4 linked regions of the Drosophila melanogaster genome follow. The protein of the gene in region 1 interacts with the protein of each later gene in a pairwise test. Each region holds a gene or a part of one and is shown in the gene's direction. Other genes may lie near its edges.

Region 1 (4,450 bases):
TTTTGCAATATCTATAAATGGCCCGCAATTCTGGGTGGCTTACGCCAATTAAATTCACTATTATATTATATAATTTATTCTTATACAATTATGCACATGGGACACTGTTTACAAATGTCAGAGATTGATTAAGCATGAAAGCATAAAATGTTCTTGCATTTGCATGCTATAGTCTCATAGATTTTCATTTTGGTGCTTAGCAAGTACAAATGCCAAATGCCTAATGCTCATTTTACCATAGTTTAGAAAACTAGTTGATGGATAGCTGGTAATGTCTGACTGCCAAATGTAAGTTGAAAAAATGACGCTGTAGACGCTAATGAATCGTGCTTGTATTTATTTATTTGGCACCCCAGCACTACACGTGCAATTTATTATTTAAAGTGCTTGTCGCGGCATTAAAATATTATTAGGTCAGTACAAAATGTATATTTAGACTTTGAAGCTGGCTGATCAACGATTTAATAAGTAACTTTCACCTATTAAAAATAATAAACCCTAAAACTATTACGCCTTATCGGTAGGTGTTAAATAATAATGCATTCCATATAGCTAGTTCCTGAAGTTCATACGCACAACCTTGGCAAGTAATTTATTAAGTTATTGGGGCCACACTTTTAGTTTTAGTTTCTAACTCTGCGAGAAAGATGTTCGTTCAAGAAGAAATAGATTAGGAAGTAATTTAGTCCATAATTTTCCTTAGTACTAAGGACTTAACTAACTATTTTGTTTCCCTTTCGTTCAGACGTGCAACGTGTTCTTCTTCTCCTGTGGCGTGACCACCTGGGGTTCGGCCGTCTCCGTCTACGGCAGCTATGGGTCGGCACTTTGCGGAGGAGCAGTTTTCGGAGTCGCCTTCCTGGGCATGTACGTGGCCTTGAAGGTGTCGTACAAGTATTCCATATACGTGAGTAAACTGCGTTCACAACTGCAAGTCACAGACTAACCTCTTTGCATTCAGTACCTAATTTGCAGTGGCCTGGTTATAGCCGCCCTGGGCTCCTACCTCTTCACCTTCACGGCGATGCGGGAGCAGCTGATGGGCAGGTTCGAGGAGCGCATGCGCGACCTCTTCGAGCGAAAGACCCACAGCGACGACAAGATGCAGCCAGTGCACAGCCTCTTCGGCTGCTGCGGCATTGAGGGACCGCAGGACTACCTTCAGGAGGAGCACGGCGCCCTGCCCAGCAGCTGCTGCTACGCCTTCGACTGCTCCAAGCCGGCGCACGTCTACGAGGAGGGATGCTCCACCAAGGCGGTAGCTACTCTGAGAATGCAGGCGGAGCTCAACTACTACAGCTGCATGGCGATCATTGCCCTCGAGGTGAGACATTAAACCATACGCAGGGTAAAATTCACTTGCCACAAGGGTACTTGAGCACAAGGGTATGTTTCGGCACGTCGCTTATGGAAGAGTTATCCAATAACTTTTGAATTAACGCACACAACTGACTCAGTGAACACATTTTAACTACTTTTTTATTCGTCACGCTTAAATAGAAATCCCTGCCAAGATAAGATGTGTGTTTTTTCATTCAAACCATTTTTGTTACTAAAGTTTTCTTTAAACTAAATATGTCAAAGGTGCGATCGTTACTATTTATGTACACAGTTGTTGAGCTTTTGCTTGATGTTATAAAGTTATAAAGTAGTAAGGACGTTAAGACAGTAAAATATTTTTTTAACAAAGTTCGCTTGTCTATTCGATTTCGATTCCATATCAATATTATATTATTACAATTTATGTATTTTTCAGTTTTTGGGCTTGTTCACCGCTTACCATTTGGGCAAGGCTCGCAAGTATGCCAAAACCAAGATAAAGGACGAGGAGACCCCCATCAACGACTGATGGCCGAGGATACCCCTGCATGATTATTGATAATAAAAATTAACCAAATTAGCTAAAATGCCATTAGAAAATAAATACTTTCCATAGCCTAAACGAGTTCCCCGCAGTTATATCTCTCTCTCATTGAATTCGGCATCATTCGGCTGCGAAGATCTGAAAAACAAAAGAACATTGAAGAGCGCAGATCGTGATTTTGGGATTTTACGTGCTGCCGGCAAATATTTGCATCTGAAATTCATTGTCTATCGGAACTCCGATCTGGCAGGTTCGATCATACAACAAAGATTACTCTCTATTACTAATTATTCAAGAGGAATTAGTTTGGAATTTTACAAAAACAGCTTAATCGTAGCACTAGGATGGGCTGCACTTCCGGTTGCGTTAAGTGTTTCCTTAACACTCTTAATACTCTGAACGCGGTGAGTTCTTAACATATGCATATATTCACATGCATATGAATAAAAATTGGTAATTCTGTGCTATAAGAATGTATTACAAATGTAAATTAGCCATCTGTGTTCCCACAGGAATTTAAATGAATACATTTTTCTGCAAATCGACAAGCAAGTACGCATTCCGTTTTCATGGAATCGAAAATTTGTTTGGCCAGTAAACGTAATTTGCTTGTCAGATATGTATGAGAAACATTTGCCGCACTTTAATGATTAGCCCCAACACATTCCAAATTCAATTTGTTTGATCTAGAAATGCTTTACGACTTTACCATATGCTGCGATTTGTACCATATTTACAATTTATGGAAGATTATGGAAGAAAACAAGATTTTTAACTGCCAAAAACTTGTTTTATCCATATCCTTTTAAAAATAACTCATTATTTAGCACTAAGAGAGCGAACGTTATTGTGAAACACCAAATCAAATAACAGAGATTCCAGTGCCCAGATAAACGGGAAAATCTAGTTTCTTCACCGCGGCATTTGATAATATTTTGAAAATACCTCAAGCTCCATTGGAGTCATTGACATTACCACCCGATATCATTGCCAAATGCTAATCTGAATTGACCCTATGCTCCCTCTGTAGCTTTCGGGTCTATCCCTGATAGCCATTGCAACGTTGGCCCTCTCGAAAGCCCCTATCGCCTACATTCTGTTTCTATATGGACTCGGTGGCATTATCTTCGTTTCGGCTGTACTGGGATGCTGTGGAATCTGCATGGAGAACGTGTGCATGACCGCAACGGTGAGTGGAAACGCTATGTCATCCGTTTGGTAATTCACTCACTCTATGTTGTGTGTTGTATGTCAACAGTACGGCTTCTTGCTGTTGGCTCAGCTAATAATCAGCTTGCTAGGCATCTTCCGCTTCAAGTTCACTGAGGAATACATAGAGAAGTTCGCCGCCGAGGAGGTTCAGATGAAATGGGACGAGGAGCTGGTGGAACCCGGCGCCATGGACATTTACCAGACAGTGGTTCGTATTCTGGCGAAGATCATTCGCATCATGCACTTTTAATCGAATATATTTAATATGCTGGCATTATCGTTTATCATTTTTATGAATTATCTTAACAGTACGAGTGTTGTGGGCGTGATAGCCCCGACGACTACGTGGCCATCGGTCGTCAAACCTTGCCGCCCAGCTGCTATCCCCAGGAGGACCCCCAGATGCCCCACTATCTAGCTGGTTGCGTCCAAAAGTCCAGTGAGAACTTTGTGGTGCTCTTCAGCTACGCCCACGATACCAACTGGATAGCACTGGGAATAACCGTGAGTGAAATGTGTGAACTACACATGGAGGGACTAATCTTACAGAGTTTTTACAGATTCTAATGATGATTGCCGCCTTTTACTTGGTCGGAAGATTCAGGAAGCAGCGCGTTCGCTACACCTACTAAGGAATACTTTCGTAGAATTCTGAATATATTATTAGGGCGCCAATATTCCTTTACAGTAATCTTGTATAAAGTTTTTGATGCTCCCAGGAGAAATAAAAGCGTATCCCGATGAAACGAATACTTCCGATTATACAAAGGGTTCAATCCGAACTGATTAAAATTGTGATTTTTAAACTAGTAACTTTGTATTTGTAACTATGTATTTGCCTAACAGGGTCAGTTCAGCTGTCTTTCGGTATATAGCTCCTATACTTTTAAGATTCACACAAAGTGAGCAATGCATTTAGGGTTTCTATTTTGATAGTGGAAGTCAGGATCCTGCACTCCGCATCGGAAACTGAGCTCATCCGGTGATGTTGATGGCGTCATTCAGTGCCGAGTGTCTGACGCAATCGAGCTGAATCAATCTTACCGGCATTAATTCGATCGTTGGTAAATTGCTTTGAGAGGCGGTGGTCGATTAGACCCAACTCCGCTCTCGATAAGACACACACCGCGGCTAAACATCTGGCAAACGGAGACATATAGATTTCGCTTCAGTTCTGTCAAGCATAACCAGCTCCACGCTTCGAACTTTCCCGCCTCAGTTTCTGTTTGGCTTCCGAATGGCGGGAGCCGCACTAGAGTGCCACCGCCACCTTTAACTTTCTTGATTTGCCTACTGCGAGTGCAGGCGAATTCGGCTAAATGGATTTTAGTCACTCGAAGTATATTAATTGACAAATCAATATAACAAGATAGT
Region 2 (6,464 bases), on another chromosome or scaffold:
GTTGACAGTAATGGTGTTGTTCTTGTTGTTGCCCGTGTGCGTAGAAGGACGCATCAGCAACGTTAACAATTTGCACAAAGTGCTTAGACATGTGAGGATGAAAACTTTTCTTAAGGCTAACTTACGTGGCAGTGGCAGATGAGGTAAGGAAGTAAAGAGAAATCCCACCACCTGGAGGGGAAAAGTATTGGGTCAGCTTAAAGGGGAGCTTCCGCCGTTTCTCGACATGCACGTATGTAATCCCACCTATTGATAGACTTGTTCTTGCCGAAAGCAAGTTACATTTTTAATTGTCTATCAAAGGGGGCTATTTATAAAACAAAAGATTCCGAAATGTCCTTGCTGCTGACTAATCTCAAGGGAGGACATGGCTGGCGAACTGAGAGAGACATTGGCAGGGGTCAAAGGGCAGGGGAAGGAGAATAGGGGGCCTTCCCCACACAACAATGTGTGTATATATGTATGCATTTTTAATGAAATTTGCCGACGATTTGCGCTCGAAAGCAATTTTGAAGCCCAAAAACGGAGGCAGCAACAGTTGCAACTGCAACACACACGCAAGCACACACTCCGCTGTTGTTGCTGCTCCTGCTGCAGGATCACGTGTGCGGCATACGAAAAATTAATGCAAATTTGCATAATAAACAAACAAAATAAGCGGCGAGGATGGCAGGACTTGCAGGACCAGTGGCAGAATTGATTAAGTTGTTGGTGTGCAATTTGTGTGTTGACTTTGCTGGCACAATTTCAGCCACATCATATTCACCATCTCCTTTAGAGAATCAAAATATACACCATGCTATATAGTTTATTGTTTTATATGCTGTTTATCAAATTGTGCATCTTCTTAAAGCTACTCTCTCAGCATTGACCTTCTGCATTTGTTTGCCCCCCCATATGCATGCAAATAAACAACACATATCTCACACACACACACTCGCACATCAAGTCGGGCTAACACCGACATTGACGTCACCTTTGCTTACTCGTGGGCTGGGTTAAATTGCCGGCACAGAATTGTAATCAGCTTCGAGCCCAATAAACTGCATGAGTGTAAATTTCCGGAATGTAATCGCCCCCAAATCAAAATAGAGTACTCGATGGCCTTCGAGCACTTAGATGGTACAATCGGGTATTTGGGCTGGAGGATTTGGGTATCAATAGCACACGGCTGGCAAAGGTCTAAATTGGGCACGGTCAGAGTTCAACACGGCAAAAATTCCAATTCCAATTAGAACACCAAGACGAGGTTTTCAAGTTTTTTGTAAACGTGTTCGTTTTAAATTTATTGGTTTAAAAAAGAGAAAAATGTTTGGTAAACATTAAAGACTTTAAACCTTTTTTGGATTAATAGTTAGTATTAACACTTTGTTTATGGTTTATTTATTAACTTATAAGAAAAATAGATAACAGTTAAAGAATAGTGAATTAATTAACGTATTATTATCATCTACGACGTCAATGGCTTAGAAAAGAAAATAAATAAAATTTAAAATATAGTTTTAAAGACTGATTTATTAAAACAATCCATGGCATTACAAGAAGTATTTGCTAAATTTGAATTTAAAATCGCCCGCCGAGAATCGGGCAATGCAACCCTGGATTGCGGCTCTCTCGCTGTGCAGTGAACAAAATTTGTGTATCTAATCGGCGAGTAAGTAGTATAACAAGCTCAAAGATTGGTCGGTTCCTTTCTGCATTATTTTACAGCTGTATTTTCATTAACAATTAGTTATGCTAAGGGAACTTAAAATTTATTTTTCAAAATTTTCAAACCGTGGAGGGGAAATTGCGCCACGACTTTAAACGCTGAGAATCCAAAATAAACGAGAAGAGCCGTACCGAACTGGTTCGTGGCAATGCTGGGGGCGAACCAGTTCCGACGCTCAAATGAGCGCTGCGACCAGGGCTGCATTGCCACCCTCGAGCTGCACAAAGAAAAATAATTTACTCGCCAGCAGCTCATTGGCGTTTTTTCATTTTTTAAAGTGTACTTAAGAGTTGTTAATATTTTTCGCAGTGCTCGGCCCGACCACAACAAACAATAATAGCCGAATAATAGTGTGAGTGAAAATGCGGCGAGCTGCATTCGGCGCAAAACCAAGTGTTCCGCAGCACCCAAAGCCCAAATCGAACAACTCGAAATCGGAATCAGGCGAAGCCATCATTAGCGAGACATTTGTATTTGTCTGACCCCTCAGCGGTGTCTGAGAATCTCGGAGAGTCGTCGTGGAGCGGTGTGGAGAGGAGAGAGCAGGAGCAGAAAAGGGCCCACAATCCAAGTCCAAGGAAGCACCACTCCGATACCGAACCGATATGGGTAGGTGTATACGGTCTATACGGTCTATACGGTCTATACGGTGTATATGGTGTACATGGTGTGTGTTGTATGTAGGTGGTGCATGTAGATATGTAGTCGTGAATCGCACGATATCGGGGGGTTAAGGTGGAGCCCCGTTTTGGGGTACAGCCGATGCAGGCCAACTAGGAGCATTTGTGCGTGATGCGCGCACTTCAAGTCGCTGTCCTGCCTACCTGCCCCGCCTCCCCCGTCACTTGCCCATCGACTCGGCGAACGCAACGCCACCAGGGCTGCAGCACAGCGTCGCTAATCGGCTGCCGTCGTCGGTGTTATTGTTGTTGTTGGAGGTGTCGGTGGTAGTGGTGGTGGGTTGCAAGAACGAATTGAATATCGAACAAAGGGCTCGTTGCCGATAGTTGGTTCGAAAGGAGACTTATGAATACATTCATTTTATGGCACTAAAATATGTTATGACCATTGGAAAACAGCTTTTATTATTTTTTTGAATCAAATAGAAATTGAAAATAATATAAATTGAAACCATTATTAACATAATAATGAATATCCTAAATTAATTTATAAACTTGAAAATTACAAATGTCATGTCAATTAATAATTTATCAGAAAGAAGCTGCTTATAAAAATTAAAGTAACCAAAAGAATAATAATAAAATTTGATAGTTTGCTTAAAACGAAAAAATAGAAAAAACGGAAGTCACTAGATCTAATTTGATTTACATAGTTATTATTATTGTGCACAATGCAGCTTCTTTACTAAACCCTATGATAAATATAAATACAATAATATTGCGACAAGTGCATTTAAGACAGAACTGAAAGACCCAGCCCTGGTAGGCGCATACAAACCCAAACCAACCGAAAATCAAATTTGCATTTGTTTACGTTCGCCCCAACATGCTATAATCTCAATTCCCCACTCGCAGAAACCGAGTCGATGGCTCCAAGCAGCAGTGCGGCGGCTGCAGCCACCAAGCTCCTGGTGGAGATCACCACCGACGGAATACCCAAGCTGCACTGCCCGGTGTGCAACAAGGCGCTGGTCTCCCTAGCCGGATATGTGAAGCACGTAAAGAAGCACCAGCCGCCGGGCGGCTTCGAGTGCCGTCACTGCGATGCTCGGTTTTGCCACGAGGAGGAGCTCACCCAGCATGCAAAGGATGAGCACGGAGTCACTGGCGCGGTAGCTGGACAGGAGCGAAAGCCTTTCGTTTGTGAAAAGTGCGGCGCGGAGTACAAGTACCAGGAGGCATACCGTCGCCACTGCAGGACCAAGTGTGGCGAGGAAAAGCTACCCAGGGTGAGTAGAACCGAAACAGTGGAACCGTTTGTAAATATATTAATAATAATTACTTTCTCTTCCTTAGGAGGAATCCCGACCAATGGAGTGCAAGTGCTGCTACACCCGCTTCTCTAGCGCCTCTAACCTATCCAAGCATCGACGCAGTCGTCCCGACACCTGTGGACAGCCGGAATACGATTCGCCCGGTTCATCCGATGGGATGAAGAAACATAAGGCCTTCCGCAAGAAGGACAGAAACAGGGACTCTGATGATGAAGATACCACCAGCGAAGAATCGGAAGATAGCGATGATGACATTCCTCTGGCCAGTCGTCTGAAGACGAAGCTCAAGCAGGAGAGCCAGAACTCGGACTCGGGCGACGAGTGTCCCGACTTCGAACCCAACAACAGTGAGGACGATGCGGATGCATCCGGATTCCAGCTTCCTCCGCCGGCTATGGTCAAGGTGGAGGCCTTCGACGAAGAAGATTTCGAGTACCAGGACGCCAGCATGTATGTGAAGACCGAAAGCACCGATATCTTTAGCAACGAAAAGGATAAGCTGCTGGATGTGCTGCTCAATGAGGGTGATGGCTTAAAGCCCTTTGAGAGCCTAAAGGTGGAACAGGGCGCTGGTATACTAGACGAAATCGCGGCCGTGCCGCTAGTGGAGGTTGCGGAAGAAGATGTCTTAGAACTGAGGGGTCATCAAATGGAAAAACCTCCCGGACCAAGAAAGCGGGGCAGACCGCCAAAGGAAAAGATACCTGTGGTCAAGAGAAAGTATCGCAAACGAAACGCACCTAGATCGCCCTCGCCTGACGATTCATCGGGTACACCAAAACGCGTAGCTAAGATCAGCAAAAAGGAGCTAAAGGAGCGCCTTAAGATGATCAACAAGATGGAAAAATCCTGGAAGTGTCCTCACTGCGTAAAAATCTACCACATCCGCAAGCCCTACGAAAAGCATTTGCGCGACGACCACAAGTTAAATGAGGCGGAAATGAAAGAGATCTTTAAGGACGTGGACGTCCATGCTAAGCTGGACGAGGAAGTCTTTAAGTGTCCCATATGCAGCAAGATCTATTTGGTGGAGAAGCGCTTGGTCACCCACATGAAGGTGCATGGCGAAGATGGCAAGCTGACTTTCAAGTGCCCATGCTACTGCAACCTCTTCTTCGCCACCAAGGAACAGGCCACTGAGCATGCTAGGGCCCAGCACAAGGAACTGCTCTACTGCGAAAAATGCGACAAGTACATGACCGGACACGACAGCCTCAAGAACCACGAACGCAATTTCCACTCGAAGAAGGAGCCGCGCAGCCAGCAGCGCAACCTCATCTGCGACAAGTGCGGCAAGAAGTTCACCGGACGCACATCGCTCTCTGACCACGTTCGTTCTGACTGCGGCCGTCTACCGCTCTACGGCTGCAGCGTTTGCGGCAAACATTTGTCCACCGCTGGGTAATAACTATTTGTGTTTGAATGTTTATTCTAAGACTGTTAGTAACGCATCTTCCTTTCCGCAGTATTCTCAAGACGCACATGCTCCTTCACAAGGCAGACACTCCGTACCAGTGCGATAAGTGCGGCAAAACATTCAAGGTGAAGGCGCAATACAAGTCGCACTTGAAGACGCGCCACACGGACTACAAGCCGTACAAGTGCCACCTGTGTCCCAAGGAGTATCCGTACAGGGAGAGTCTGCTCACCCACATGACCGTGCACACGGGCATTAAGCGTTTCCTGTGCAATAACTGCGGCAAGCGCTTCACTTGCATCTCCAACTTGCAGGCACATCGCAAGGTGCATGCCGATACCTGCGGCCAGTTGCCTTTGAATGCCAAGGCCACCCAGTACATGGGCGTGCAGCGCGGAAAACTCTTGATGGGCGCTAAGCCGGAGGCGGGCATGGAGTACGAGGAGACCAAGACCTTGATCGCCCAGGATGTCATCGACAGGGACATGCCCATGGCACAGGAGCTCAACTTCCCATCTGACGGCTCAGCGCCATTGGCCACGGTGCCCCTGAACTACGCCTCCACACACCTGGTGCCACACATCGTACTGCAGACCATGCAAGCCGAGGCCCGGCGAATGGAGTAACTTCGGAACACATTCATTTAGCGATCCCACTCAATAAAGATTCTTTTGTAAACGGATGCGTATTCTACTGTACAACAAATGGGATGACAACTACATAATAATATCTACTTAATGACTGGATTAATTAAATAACATTGAACGTAAATAAGCTACATAAAATTGATGTAGATGAAGGTTTAACGCCATACGGACCTGTCAAAAACATTTAAGAAAAATAAATTTCCTTATAAAAACACGTTTCGGAATTTATTCGTAATAGAGAAAATTAATTATATGGGATTTGTTAAAAAAATCTTTATATTTATTTACTTTTTACTTGTTTATGTATTTTTATATTGACTAACAGCCTTACAAACTATATTTCTTAATGTCTCGACTCGCTAGTTCAGTCTGAAATAGGGCTGCTGGTATCTGCCTATGGGCATCCGATCCTTGGTCCTCAGTCGTCGCACTGCCTCTCGTATGAATTTGGGCTGCAGGGCACCGGATTCACCTTGGGCCTCCATCACGTCGAGGGCTTCCTCCACAACCTCGCCGACGAAGACCTTCGCAATGCCGGACATGGCTATCACAACATTCTGGGACACGGAACAGCCGGTGATAGTTTGCATTAGACGCTTGACGGCGGCCTTGGGAAAGGCAGAGCGACGATACATTTCGTAGCGATCCAGCTGTTCTTCCGTAAAGTTGGAAACGAGAACCCTGGAGTGGAATAAAATAGTTTTTATAGGATTACCCCTTCGAATCGCTTTAAGC
Region 3 (5,028 bases), on another chromosome or scaffold:
GGTGATTGTTTTTACTAGACTACCGCCCACAGATTGCGATCGGCGCCGGACAACTTGGACACTTCGTCTGCTATTGGTTAAGCTGCTGTTCCGGAGGGGCAACGATCGCGGTGTGCTGGGGGCACTGAGCAGCTGCGGTTCCGAGTCCTTTGATGGTTTTGGACTAAACAGCCTCTTGCGAGCGGAAGAAGGCCCCGCAATTTGGCACTTGTCTTCCATCGTCGGAAAGTCTTCTATGTCCTCTGAAAAGGAGGGTAACGTAGGCGAGGGGGAAAAACGCTGCAGGTCTCCCGTACTGGTGCTTTGCGATATCAGACTGTCAGGATTTTCGGTGGCCGAGGAAACATCAATTTCGGCACACAGTTCCTCTATGAGCTGACGCTGCTGATGATCAAACTCGGCCTGCATGCGACGACGTTCCTTCTCCTGGTGAATGACCAATTGATTCATTCGCTCCCGATGGCCACGCAGATAGTTGCGCACTCCTGCCTTGCGGCTGGCTTCCAAAGCGCCATGCTCGTCCAGCGCCCGTTCTATTATACGCTCCACCTCGCGATCCCGCCTAGAACAGCTGCTGCCGGCGGTTGTGGTTTTAGTGGCGATGGTGCTCTTGGTTGCGGCGCTACTGTTGCTATTGTAGCTGTTGTGGCTAATTTTGCTGCTAATACTCCTTGCACTACGGTTCACCCGCTTGGCCTGAGACTCGATGGTCTGCTTCTCGAAGTTGGCCAAACTCTGGCTGGGTTTCACAGCCAGGGCCTCCCTCTCCATGTGCTCCACGAGAACCTGGGAGGGCTCCTCTAGTGTGAAACTTCTCGAACGCTGAAAATTAGCTGGTTCTGCCAGTGGACTGCCGAGCTCCCTTGCCGTTGTGTCCTTTGTATCCTGATCCTGCTGGTCTTCGGCTACCGCAGGACTTGTGCGCAGGATACACTTATCTGGAACTTTGGGCAGCAGCTTACCCAGTCCCGACTGCTCGAACTGCAGGATACGATCGGTAATGCGATTATGCCGCCTTGGGGAAGTGTTTTCTATTGATTTCACAAATGGTTGAGGCGTGGGAGGATCCACCTGTATGGTGGGCAACTGTTTGCCAAAGACCAGAGTCTGAGGACGAGCCTGGCCCCGTGTGCTGTCATAGATTAACGTTTCTGTCTGCTGCAGCTGTGACACACTTCTCCTACTGGCCATGTCGGATCCCGCCGAGTGTCTGGCCAGGCGGTACCGCTTCTCCAGCGCTTCTGCCATCTGGCGGGCCAGCTGCACCTCGCGCTTCTTGGCGCTCGTCATCTGGAACAAAGTAAAATGGTTACGCCTCAGTAAATGCCACTCCCTGACCAAGAATTTAAATCACCAGCGGTGGCAGTATAGGCTGCCCGTCCAAGTGGAACCGAAAGGAGACAGGGTCCATGGAACTAGAGCCACTGCCCTCGGAGGGGGCGCTCCAGATCGATATGGTGGTCGTGGCCGTTGGTGTGGTGGCCTCGCTGTGGCTACCTCCCATCTCAACTGCAGACAGCAGCTGCTCCATTGCCCTGCTTAATTGGAGAAGCATTAGATTGAGCAAAATCAGTAATTAGAAGCCCGTAAGCAACCGGGATTCATAAAATCCCAAGACCCACTCACCACGTCGCATCCATTGGTGTTTTGCTACTGGGAATTTTTGTTGGGACGTCGAAATGTCAGGAAGCCTTCTCAGAGGTCAGCTGAATCTAGGTGTTTTGTGAAAGTTCATTAAATGTCTGCTATGTTTTAGTTGCCATTAGAGATGACGATGGCACTAGGGAGCCCTCGACTTCCCGCCAAAAATTAGGAAACCTCTGAAGAGTTCATTACATCAATCAAATGATATCCCGAATCGTTGAGAGTTTTGTATTCAATGTTTCTACCGTGGATCGCAGCTACCATCAAGAGCCAATGAGAAATGCTGCTTTAATGCTGGGGAAAACATTTATTTTCAAACGGCAATTCAAAACTCACACGAAGTCCATGCAGCCCTGACGTCAGATATCGATAACCGGACTTTTGGAAGTAGCGTTTTTAGAGAAAATTTGAGGACTCCACAGATTAGCAGAGGAACAAGTTTTCAGTCCTTCCAGAATTATAGTAAAGAAAACGGTGGATTAAATTAGTGTTCAGGAACTTATATTGTATATTTCGTATGCTTCAAAATCTTGTCAAAATTAAAGAAACATTGTCTGCGAAAACTTAACTTTTATTGGTTCTTAACAAACTAATTTGAAACAGCTGGCCGAATTCAACAGTTTACTAGGTGGTTATCGAAACTGGTGTGGTACATTTTGGTATTTGATTTGCGCCGGATGGTATTTTCCTTCGCCGTGCGCGCGGTCACATTCACTGGATGTGTTTTTTTGCGCTGATTGTTGCTCTGGCGCGATCGAATTTGCCTGGAATTCGGGAGTCAACATAATATTTTCGAAAGTCACCAGCTATAGCGAAAAGTATGCGAGTTCTATTACAGCTTGTCGATATGTTGTGTTCGTAACTTCTGTTTGCATATGTTATGTGTGTGTGTTATCTAGTTACAAAACGATCTAAAACCGTTTTTGCAAAGAACGTCCGCAAAACTGAGTTTGTACTTCAAATATGAACTATTTGCGGTTTATATTGCTCCAGATTTCTCTCTTTAAAGTTGCATTGTAGATGCAGTCGTGTGTGTGTGCGTGAGATGGGAGTGCAATTTTTTTTCAACAGTATCAGCTTTGTTTTTTAAGTAGAATACAAGTAATTTTTACCCCTAACTTTATTCCTAGCCCCTTTCCTTTATAAAAATACGGTAAAAGTGTAAGGAAAACAAAAACAAAAAGCGCAAAGTTTCGCACATATATGTGTACATATGCATACACACGCTGAGTGTGGTGTTTCTGTATTGTTTTTTTTTTTGTGTTTCATTCTGCGACGCAATTGAAAAAGACATCGAAGGCCAAACAACTTGGTGTTTTTTACGTTTTGTATGGCTGTAGTTGCTGTTGTTGCTGCTCAGTTGGGCGTTAGTGTTTGGCTCCGTTCTTATTATTATTATTACAACTTTTCCACGCGCTTCGCTCTCTGTTTCTCTTCCACATGCTTGCTTTCGTCCTCTCCCACGCTGCATTGCTGTCTCACTCGCACACAGCCGGTAAGCCAAGCAGCAAACAGCAACAACAACAGCAACGGCGGCGACAATAAATTATGAAAAACAAGGGAATAAGTTGATGAAATAAGTATTTCGAATTAAATGGTTAATCACTGGTGGAAAAGTCGCAGTTCCAATGACACCTTTTCCATGCTGAACTACGGAGTTTTTTTTTGTTCTTAATCGGTATACGTTTGTGAAAACAAGTGCGCTTGTGTGAGTGAGACAGGGCCTCAAAAGCCAGAAAAACATGACAAAAACATTTTGGTAAATTGCCATGTATCCGAAATAATGCTCATGCAACAGTTACATATAAATATTGTTATTTTATTTTCTACGCAGTAGTCGCGGATTTTCAACAAAGAGCAATCATAGTGATGGTATAAAAGAGGGGAAGGACGAAAGCAAAGAGAGCAAACCGAAAACAGTTACTCTGCCCATGCGCACAGCTGACCCAGAACCTGGCATAACGGTAAAGTAATTGTGTCGTACAACAAGCGAAACTTGACAGCGAAAGGGAACCGGAAGTCGCCTAAAATCGCGGAGCGGAAAGGAAATCAGTCCGCCAACCGCGGGAGCTGAAAATCGAAATCACAACCCACAAAAGCGATTCCAAAGTGCTATCTTGGTGCTACTCCCATACAAAATGTTCCAAGTCCTGCCCCGTCCGTCAAGATCCACGTTCCACTGCATAGCGGCAGCCGTTGTCACAGTCGTCCTAATGTCATGGTAAGTCGAAGTAACAATCCATCCAGAATTTTGCCATTAATTGATCCAGCTTTCCTAGAAAACTGACCTCGTATCAAAAAAAAAAGGGGAATCTTAAGACCCTTCTAAGCCCATATTTAAAACTATAGTTTTCAATTCAGTAGATAGGCACAATCAGAGTTTATTGGCAAGATAGTTCTTAGTACTTAATTACTGGTAAAAGTGGCAATTTTCGTTGATCGATAAGTTTGAAACGTGCGGCGTTTAAATTTGAGGAATAAGACAACAAATAAAAAACAATAAAATTTGTAGGCATTACGGGGAGTCCGTCCGTTTTTGGAAAATGTGAAACAGGTACATTGGATGAATGTCCATAGTTGTAATCTGATTTCTGTTAAAAGTTAACAATTGTCGGCGGGTTTTAATTAGGGCAGTAATCTCAATAAATAGCGACACGTAGTGCGTATATTTACGCACTAAATGATGTACATTTTAATTGGGTCGAGCGGGTCCGAATTTCTTCCCAGCCAATTCAGTCTCGTTCCCATTGAAAGAAAGCTGCGCAGCAAAGTGAATATGTAAAATATACTGTGTAAAATCGTATGGTCGGTCACACAAGACAAATTGTGGAGCTGTAGGTAGGAAAGAAAGAAAGAACCTCTTTGCGTGGCCAATTTCGAACTGAAAGTTGCAATGTTTTATTTTCGGAATATATGTGTGTGCACACAAAGATTGTTCCACATATGTATGTATGTAAAAGCGCACCGAAATGAAGCTCATGTGCATGCACATGGCCATCCAAATACAGCTATGGCCAAGACCGTGAAGCACACATTTAAAAAGCGCCCGAAATTAGCATTTTGTGGTTTGTGGTCCTTTCTTTAGTTCCTATTTATTTATTCTTTTATTAAAACTACAAAAATGCATTTTTTTTTTTTGTAATATCCACAACTTGTGAAACTAAACGTGATTACTGTTTATTTATCAGACTGGGCAATTTTTAAAAGTAGTATTATAACTTGTTTGCGCACTTGTTAAACTGATAAAAAGTGTATCAATTTCCGTTCAATTCCGCTGATTATAAATCAGTTCTATTGACTTAGGCTCCGCTGTTGGTTGCTGTGTGTATGCCGGCGATCTTTTGTACGTGCTTGCACCTTCGTTTTAGCTGACTGAAAGGCCCC
Region 4 (6,150 bases), about 15 Mb from region 1:
CCAATAAATTATTCGAGTGGCTGATATTCCAAATTGAATTAGCTTGACGATAAAGTGACAAAGTGTCCATCGCAGCTGAAGAAGATAATGCCGGCGGACCTGAGATAAGCCGAAGACGGTGGTTATATACGAACAAGGTGTTTGTTTCAGTCTTTTACTTTTATCTCTTCATTTTCCAGGCAAACCTCGTGGACACCCTGTGCGCAGATCATGGCTCCACCACAATCAGGCGAGATAACCATCACTTTTTTAGGCTGCGCAACGGAGAACTGACTGGAAGGGGAGTTCAGACGGAGGTGTGCGCCAACGGAGGTGATTCGGTCCTGGCCTGGATTCCCTACCACACCGTGCTCAAGAACTATGCGGCCGAGCTGAATCCCAAGGAGCGACTGACATACATTGCCAAGGCCACGAACGTGGAGCGGGAGAAGACAGAGCTCTGTCACTTCCGACACACGGATCTTGTCAATGCGGTGTCCGACAATCTGTTCACCTGTGTGGTCATGATTTTTGGCGATAACTTTGTAAGTTCCTCGGGAAGATGGTTCGGTTGATGTCCTACAAATATGTTATCTTTATAGTATGGTCTTGAGGATAACATTAACGTACTGGTGGAACTGGAACCTTTGGCATACCAGCTGAGGAACATTACTTACCTGCCGTGGCGCAATGTGACTAACAGCTACAAGATGCACCTGGGTGACAGTGTGCTCCGAAATCCCAGTGGCGAACGTAAGCCCATTTACGGTAGCCTGAACTACGATTTTGTGGAGAAGATCCTTGTGAACATGTCCAGTGTGTACCAGCATAGGAAGCTATCCAGGCTGCCTCTGCTCTTCGAGCACCGGTCCTCTGTTCTCGAGTTGGACTTGTATGGTATGGGTGGCCTGGATGTTGCGGAAAAAGCCTATTTCGGACGAAGCATGGACCCCAGGAGCGAGGTGAAGGTGCAGGTGATTGGTCAATGGGTAGACCAGCATCGGGAGTTCGACGCCGACATATACGAGTACTATGGCCATGGGCTGAGACGCTATAAGGAAACTCTGACCGGGGCCCGGCTCACCTTCATCCGAATAGATTATACGGAGCCGGTTTTCATGGCTCCGGAGTCTAGCAACCTGGCCAAGGCCTCGCTTTTCCGAGAGCCGAAGGTTGGCCAGATAAGGGAGGATCCATCGGGCAACTATACCGAGTGGGAGAACGCACAGGAAGAGGATTACGATGAGGAAGGTCCAGGATTCTACTGCTGGTTTGTGATTACTTGTCTGCTTTTGGCCCTCGCTATTATCCTGGGCATATACATTGTAGTAAGCGCTCACAACAGGAGAACCAAGAAGCGCCACATGTACGAAGTGGCCAACACGAATGTGCCTCCACCCGCCTAAAAATTATGGACATTAAGTTAAGTTTTCTAAATCAGAAAATAACACCAGGATCAACAGGTGTTTTCAGTTCGAAATGTCAGTTTAAAAAACGAGTTGGCAGCTCAATTGCTATGTCCTCGAATTAAAATTTGTGTGTTCGTTTTTTGGGTTAGATTTATTAAAAATTTCGGCTTGAAAATGTTAATGTGAGTCAAAAAACTGTTGTGTGTTTCATTGAATATGTAAAGAAATCCCCTGGTATGAACGGCAAGGAATGGCTCTAAAATCGAGAAATTAAAGAGACTTGTGAGCTGAAGGACCCACATCAAAAACCTAAGTTGTAAATAGAGAAAAGGTAAGTTTCAATGGAATTTCATGCCTTAAACATAAGAAGTTTTAAGTATTAAAAAGAAATCTAGAAATCTGAGGAAATAAACAAAATGATTTCCGACCGGCATGCGTTAGGGATTTCTGTCTTTATACCACGTTGGCAGCGCCATTCACAACACGCCTATCATCTCACTCACACTCGCACACAGAGAAAGACAGATAGAGGCAGAAGTTCAGTTCATCAATTCATTCATCTCATGGAAGAACCTTATTGATAACGTCGCCAGAGATAGCTAGTGATTTCATTCGATCAGGGTCCCGAAAGACCCACTGGTGTGCACTTGTTTTGGTTTTGAAGTTCGCATCTCTGGGAACGTGTGTGTTTCGCCCTGAACCACAAATATGTGAGTTCCGAATGCGATTTGTGTGACGCGGCCATATTTAAAGAGTTTTTTGTGTTGAATGTGGGGCGAGCTGCGAAAATTACATAAATACAGCGCAGGTGAGTTCATTTTTGTTGCGGGAACCCGGTCGAAAGGTGCTCTAAGTGCGGGTGCAAGTGAATCGAAAACAATATTTACCCAATTCAAGTCGGGAATTATGTATTTGTTTCGTTTTTTGGGCCTAAAAATCGCATTTTTCGCTCACACCAACACCAAGATGGTAAATTGTGTATAACAATATGGCTGTCTCTGTCTGGCACAAGAGCTACCAGACGTGTCGACAGTCCCTGTTATTAACAGCGGGTTAGCAGGTCATTTTACAACAGATGAAATTATTCTGAATTTTAATTGACCATTTTTTGGCGGGCAAATCATAACAAACCTCGTACTCATGCACCTTTCGGGGATCCGCTCATTCTAATGGTTATTTTAAATTAAAAAAAACTGGCCCATTGCAGCCTCCCCCTAGGAACACGAAGTGATGGATCGCAAGAAGGTCCTGGAGCTTGACAAGATCTGCCGCCTGTGCATCTCGGAGCGCAAGGAGATGCGCCCGCTGTTCAGCGAAAAGGTGCCCGAAATGCTGATGGACTGTACCAGCGTGCGGGTGGAGCCCACGGAGGGCTGGCCGGACAAGATCTGCGTGCAGTGCGTCCACGCCGTAAGCCGGAATCACGCCTTCAAGACGCTCGTCGAGCGCAGCGACAAGGAGCTGCGCGAGTATATCCGCGGTCTTACCGTGGCACTGGTAATGGAGGAGCAGCAGCAGCAGGAGGCGGCAAACGCTAAGCAGCAGCTTCAGCTGGAGCGGAAGCAACAGCGACAGCTGCAGAAGCAACAGAAAATCCTCGAGGAGCAACTCCAGCAGCAGATAGTCCAGCAGCAACAGCATCAGCCTCCTGCCAAACCAAAACTGAAGCCGCTGCTCCGCAAGGGCTCCCGCCAGCAGAAGCAGAGGCATTTGGAGGCCGCACCAGCACCACAGTCAGTCCCGCAGCCCGCCCCTCAGCCACAGATGCAATTAATGCAGGAACATGCGCCGCAACAGCCCACTATGCAGCAGCAGATCCAGCAGATTCATATGCCCACACTTCAGCCTGCTCCCGCCCAGCTACTGTCCGCTGCCGGTGCCACCACGACTATGCCGCAGCAGATCCTGTTGCCCAACGGCCAATTGATAACGACTGCTCAGATTGTAGCGCCGCAGTTGGCGCAGATCATCAGCACAGCGCCGCAGTCAACGACTAATGGTCAGGCCACCGCTGCGCAATCGCAATTCCTGCCACAGCTTCTACAGACGCCGAACGGACAGACGTTGCAGATTGTTCAGCAGCCCAATGGCACGCAGACCCTGCAGCTGGTTCAACTTGTGCCGCAACGCAGTTTGGCTCCGACCGGAGTCACGACAGTGACCACAACTACCAACGCCACGGATATGGGTCAGCATGTAGGCGCTTCTCTCGGTGATGCCGACGTGCAGTTGCTGGAGGACGGCTGTGAGGTGGAAGACGAGGAACTGGAAGATGTGTACGAGCAACTGGATAGCAAGGCAGATCACAGCTTTGAGACTATTGTACTGGACGACGATCAGCAGCAGGACTTCCTAAAGGACCACCACGAGCACCACCAAGTAATGATCAACGAGGATCTCACGCAGAGTGAAAGCCAAGACCATGAGTACTTCGACGATTTGGACCAACAGCAAGCAATGGACGAGATAGAAGACGAGGAGGAGCAAATGAAGCCCGAAGAGGACCAGGATACGTTCATAATCGAGGAGATTCAGCTGGAGGATGACGAGATGCTCGATGATCCGGATGGGGAGGAAATCGACCAGGATTGTGAGTACATCGGTGAGGAACAGGATCCGCATTTGTCCGGCGACGTAGACGACGATCTGGAGTATTCCATTATGGAGCCGCCGGATGGCGAGACAAGTGTGGACATTGACCAGGCATTCATGGATTCTGAGCAGTCGCATCATCAGCAGCACCAAGAAGAGATGCAGAGCATATCACTGGAGAACGCTGTTGTAGAGTTCAGCCAGGCCACAACTACAACGGAAGCCCTGGTGGGTCCCACTATGACCGTCAGCTCGGCCAGTCCGACGCCAAAGCGAGCCAAGCGAAGTAACCACCAAATTCCAGCCGGTGTGACTCTGGAACCCTGCGACCACCAACCACCTGCCGCTGGATCAACGACCAGCAGCAAGCTGGCCGCAGCCAACTCTCGCCAGTTGGTGCAGACGGCCAGCGTGATTGCAGCCGCCGGTGCGGACGACAACTACGAAATAGATGCTAATCTGGTAACTGAGTTCATACGACAGCACACCTCGCCTCTGGGATCTGGGAGATACATTTGTCACCTGTGCAGCACCGAGTTCCGGCAGTTCAAGGGCCTGCAGAACCACATGCACTCCCACACCAACTGGATACGGGCCAATTGCAAGAAACAGCCGCAGTGCCAGATCTGCCTAAAGAGCTTTAAGGGCCCAGGAATGCTGCGGATGCACATGAAGACGCACGACGCTGAATCCAGCACACCGATGTGCACCATTTGCAATCGAACCTTCAAGTCCAAGGCGATCTTGTACAGGCACAGACAGACGCACCAGCAGAGAGCGTATTGCTGCGGCGTGGCCAACTGCCGAAAGAACTTCTCGTCCGCGGTGAACCTCAAGTGGCACGTAGAACGCAAGCATCCGGAGGTTGTGGATCCGCTGTTCAAGTGCGGCGAGTGCGGATCTTTGTACGACAACGTGGACTCACTGCAGCTGCATGTGGAGAGCACGGATCACAGTGCAGAGGTGCAGATCAGTGGCCAGGACGATGCTTTCAGCGGGGCGGTAAGCATCGTCAGCAACGGCACCACCGACATGTCGAACATGATGGCAACCGGCCAGGGTACGACTTTGGCCGGCGGCACGGGCGATACCCACGCCGTGGTCATGGGCTCATCCGGCGAGGTGTACTTCGTGACGCAGGCGTAGCCAGCGGAGTTTGCCGCAGCGGGCGCTCCTGGAAACGGCGAGTGCCTGCTCGGCATTTAGATGACCACTTAGATGTAATATATATACATATATATATATATATTTTTGTACTACCCCCGTCTAGATAACAATTTAGGAATAAGCACAACTACACAAATATTGCAATCCTAGATTTCTGTCGTAGAACTTGTTTAGTAGGACCTAAGCGATTCACTCGAATTTTGTAAGCAGATACGAAACTTTAGGTAGGCAGATCGAGGCGGATCCTCACATCCAAACGCTTGGGGCATAAATCCTGCGTGGACTGTGCCAGTTTTTGTTTTTAATTTTATTACCCTACTATTATTATTTTGTTTTCCCGGGGAATACAGACTGGCATTTTAGGCTAAACGTATTTTGGCGTTGGGTTTTCATTGTTGGGCTTTGAAATAAGTGAATTTGTTTTAACTGAACAACAAAATAAATTAACAAACCTTCTATGAAACCATAATTTGTCTTTCTTGTACGTCCCATCTGGCCGGTAATATTTATTTTTAAGCGTGTAATCCAATTCGCTGGCTTTGTTGGCTTGTTGTTCAATTGCATTGACAGAAGACCGGGAAAAAACAGAACCCAAACAAAATTGATCGAAAGAAAACAACAATCAAGCCAAGGTCTTGTCTATTGATTCCCAATTGCCACGTGTCGCGTTCATCCGGTTATGGGAAGTATCTGGATAACTACGATTCGCGTATGGATGCTTATGTAAATCTGTAAATGCCTATTAGTGTGATTTAGGTACATGTACATACATATATATTATATTATCCATAAAAAGTGACCCCCCAATAATCGGTTATCTGATCGCAGTCTGAAATCTCCGGCTGTCACAAGAAATTGTTAATTAATTAGCAAATAAGCCGCGAAAATAATCAATTGGAATAACATTGTGACAGCTAAAATCGCCAGGCGTTTATTTGTTTTGTTCAGATTATATATGGCGGTCAGCCGCGTTTCGCAAGATAAGATAAAGGTTTGGTTTTCC

Evidence for each region.
Region 2: the proteins of Tsp42Ek (region 1) and zf30C interact in a two-hybrid assay, tested with the Drosophila melanogaster proteins (one large-scale study listed by BioGRID).
Region 3: the proteins of Tsp42Ek (region 1) and CG12576 interact in a two-hybrid assay, tested with the Drosophila melanogaster proteins (one large-scale study listed by BioGRID).
Region 4: the proteins of Tsp42Ek (region 1) and CG10321 interact in a two-hybrid assay, tested with the Drosophila melanogaster proteins (one large-scale study listed by BioGRID).

What each region holds. Positions count from the first base shown.
Region 1 is NT_033778.4:7,040,824-7,045,273, forward strand, and holds Tsp42Ek (tetraspanin 42Ek), read left to right. Parts: upstream 1-1,849; 5' UTR 1,850-2,208; coding exon 2,209-2,268; intron 2,269-2,894; coding exon 2,895-3,053; intron 3,054-3,122; coding exon 3,123-3,284; intron 3,285-3,385; coding exon 3,386-3,580; intron 3,581-3,636; coding exon 3,637-3,708; 3' UTR 3,709-3,887; downstream 3,888-4,450. Other genes in the region: Tsp42Ej (tetraspanin 42Ej), read left to right, coding at 746-907, 962-1,324, 1,757-1,849.
Region 2 is NT_033779.5:9,756,434-9,762,897, forward strand, and holds zf30C (zinc finger protein 30C), read left to right. Parts: upstream 1-1,908; 5' UTR 1,909-2,316; coding exon 2,317-2,320; intron 2,321-3,246; coding exon 3,247-3,620; intron 3,621-3,687; coding exon 3,688-5,066; intron 5,067-5,131; coding exon 5,132-5,708; 3' UTR 5,709-5,942; downstream 5,943-6,464. Other genes in the region: Taf11 (TBP-associated factor 11), read right to left, coding at 6,089-6,410.
Region 3 is NC_004354.4:22,479,349-22,484,376, reverse strand, and holds the start of CG12576 (uncharacterized protein), read left to right. Parts: upstream 1-2,019; 5' UTR 2,020-2,272; exon of another isoform or gene 2,273-2,295; intron 2,296-2,349; exon of another isoform or gene 2,350-2,462; intron 2,463-3,478; 5' UTR 3,479-3,782; coding exon 3,783-3,865; intron 3,866-5,028. Other genes in the region: Cp110 (centriolar coiled coil protein 110kDa), read right to left, coding at 1-1,290, 1,355-1,535, 1,627-1,640.
Region 4 is NT_033778.4:21,632,786-21,638,935, forward strand, and holds CG10321 (uncharacterized protein), read left to right. Parts: upstream 1-1,893; 5' UTR 1,894-2,196; intron 2,197-2,595; 5' UTR 2,596-2,618; coding exon 2,619-5,126; coding exon of another isoform or gene 5,127-5,186; 3' UTR 5,187-5,614; downstream 5,615-6,150. Other genes in the region: CG15674 (uncharacterized protein), read left to right, coding at 180-524, 582-1,385.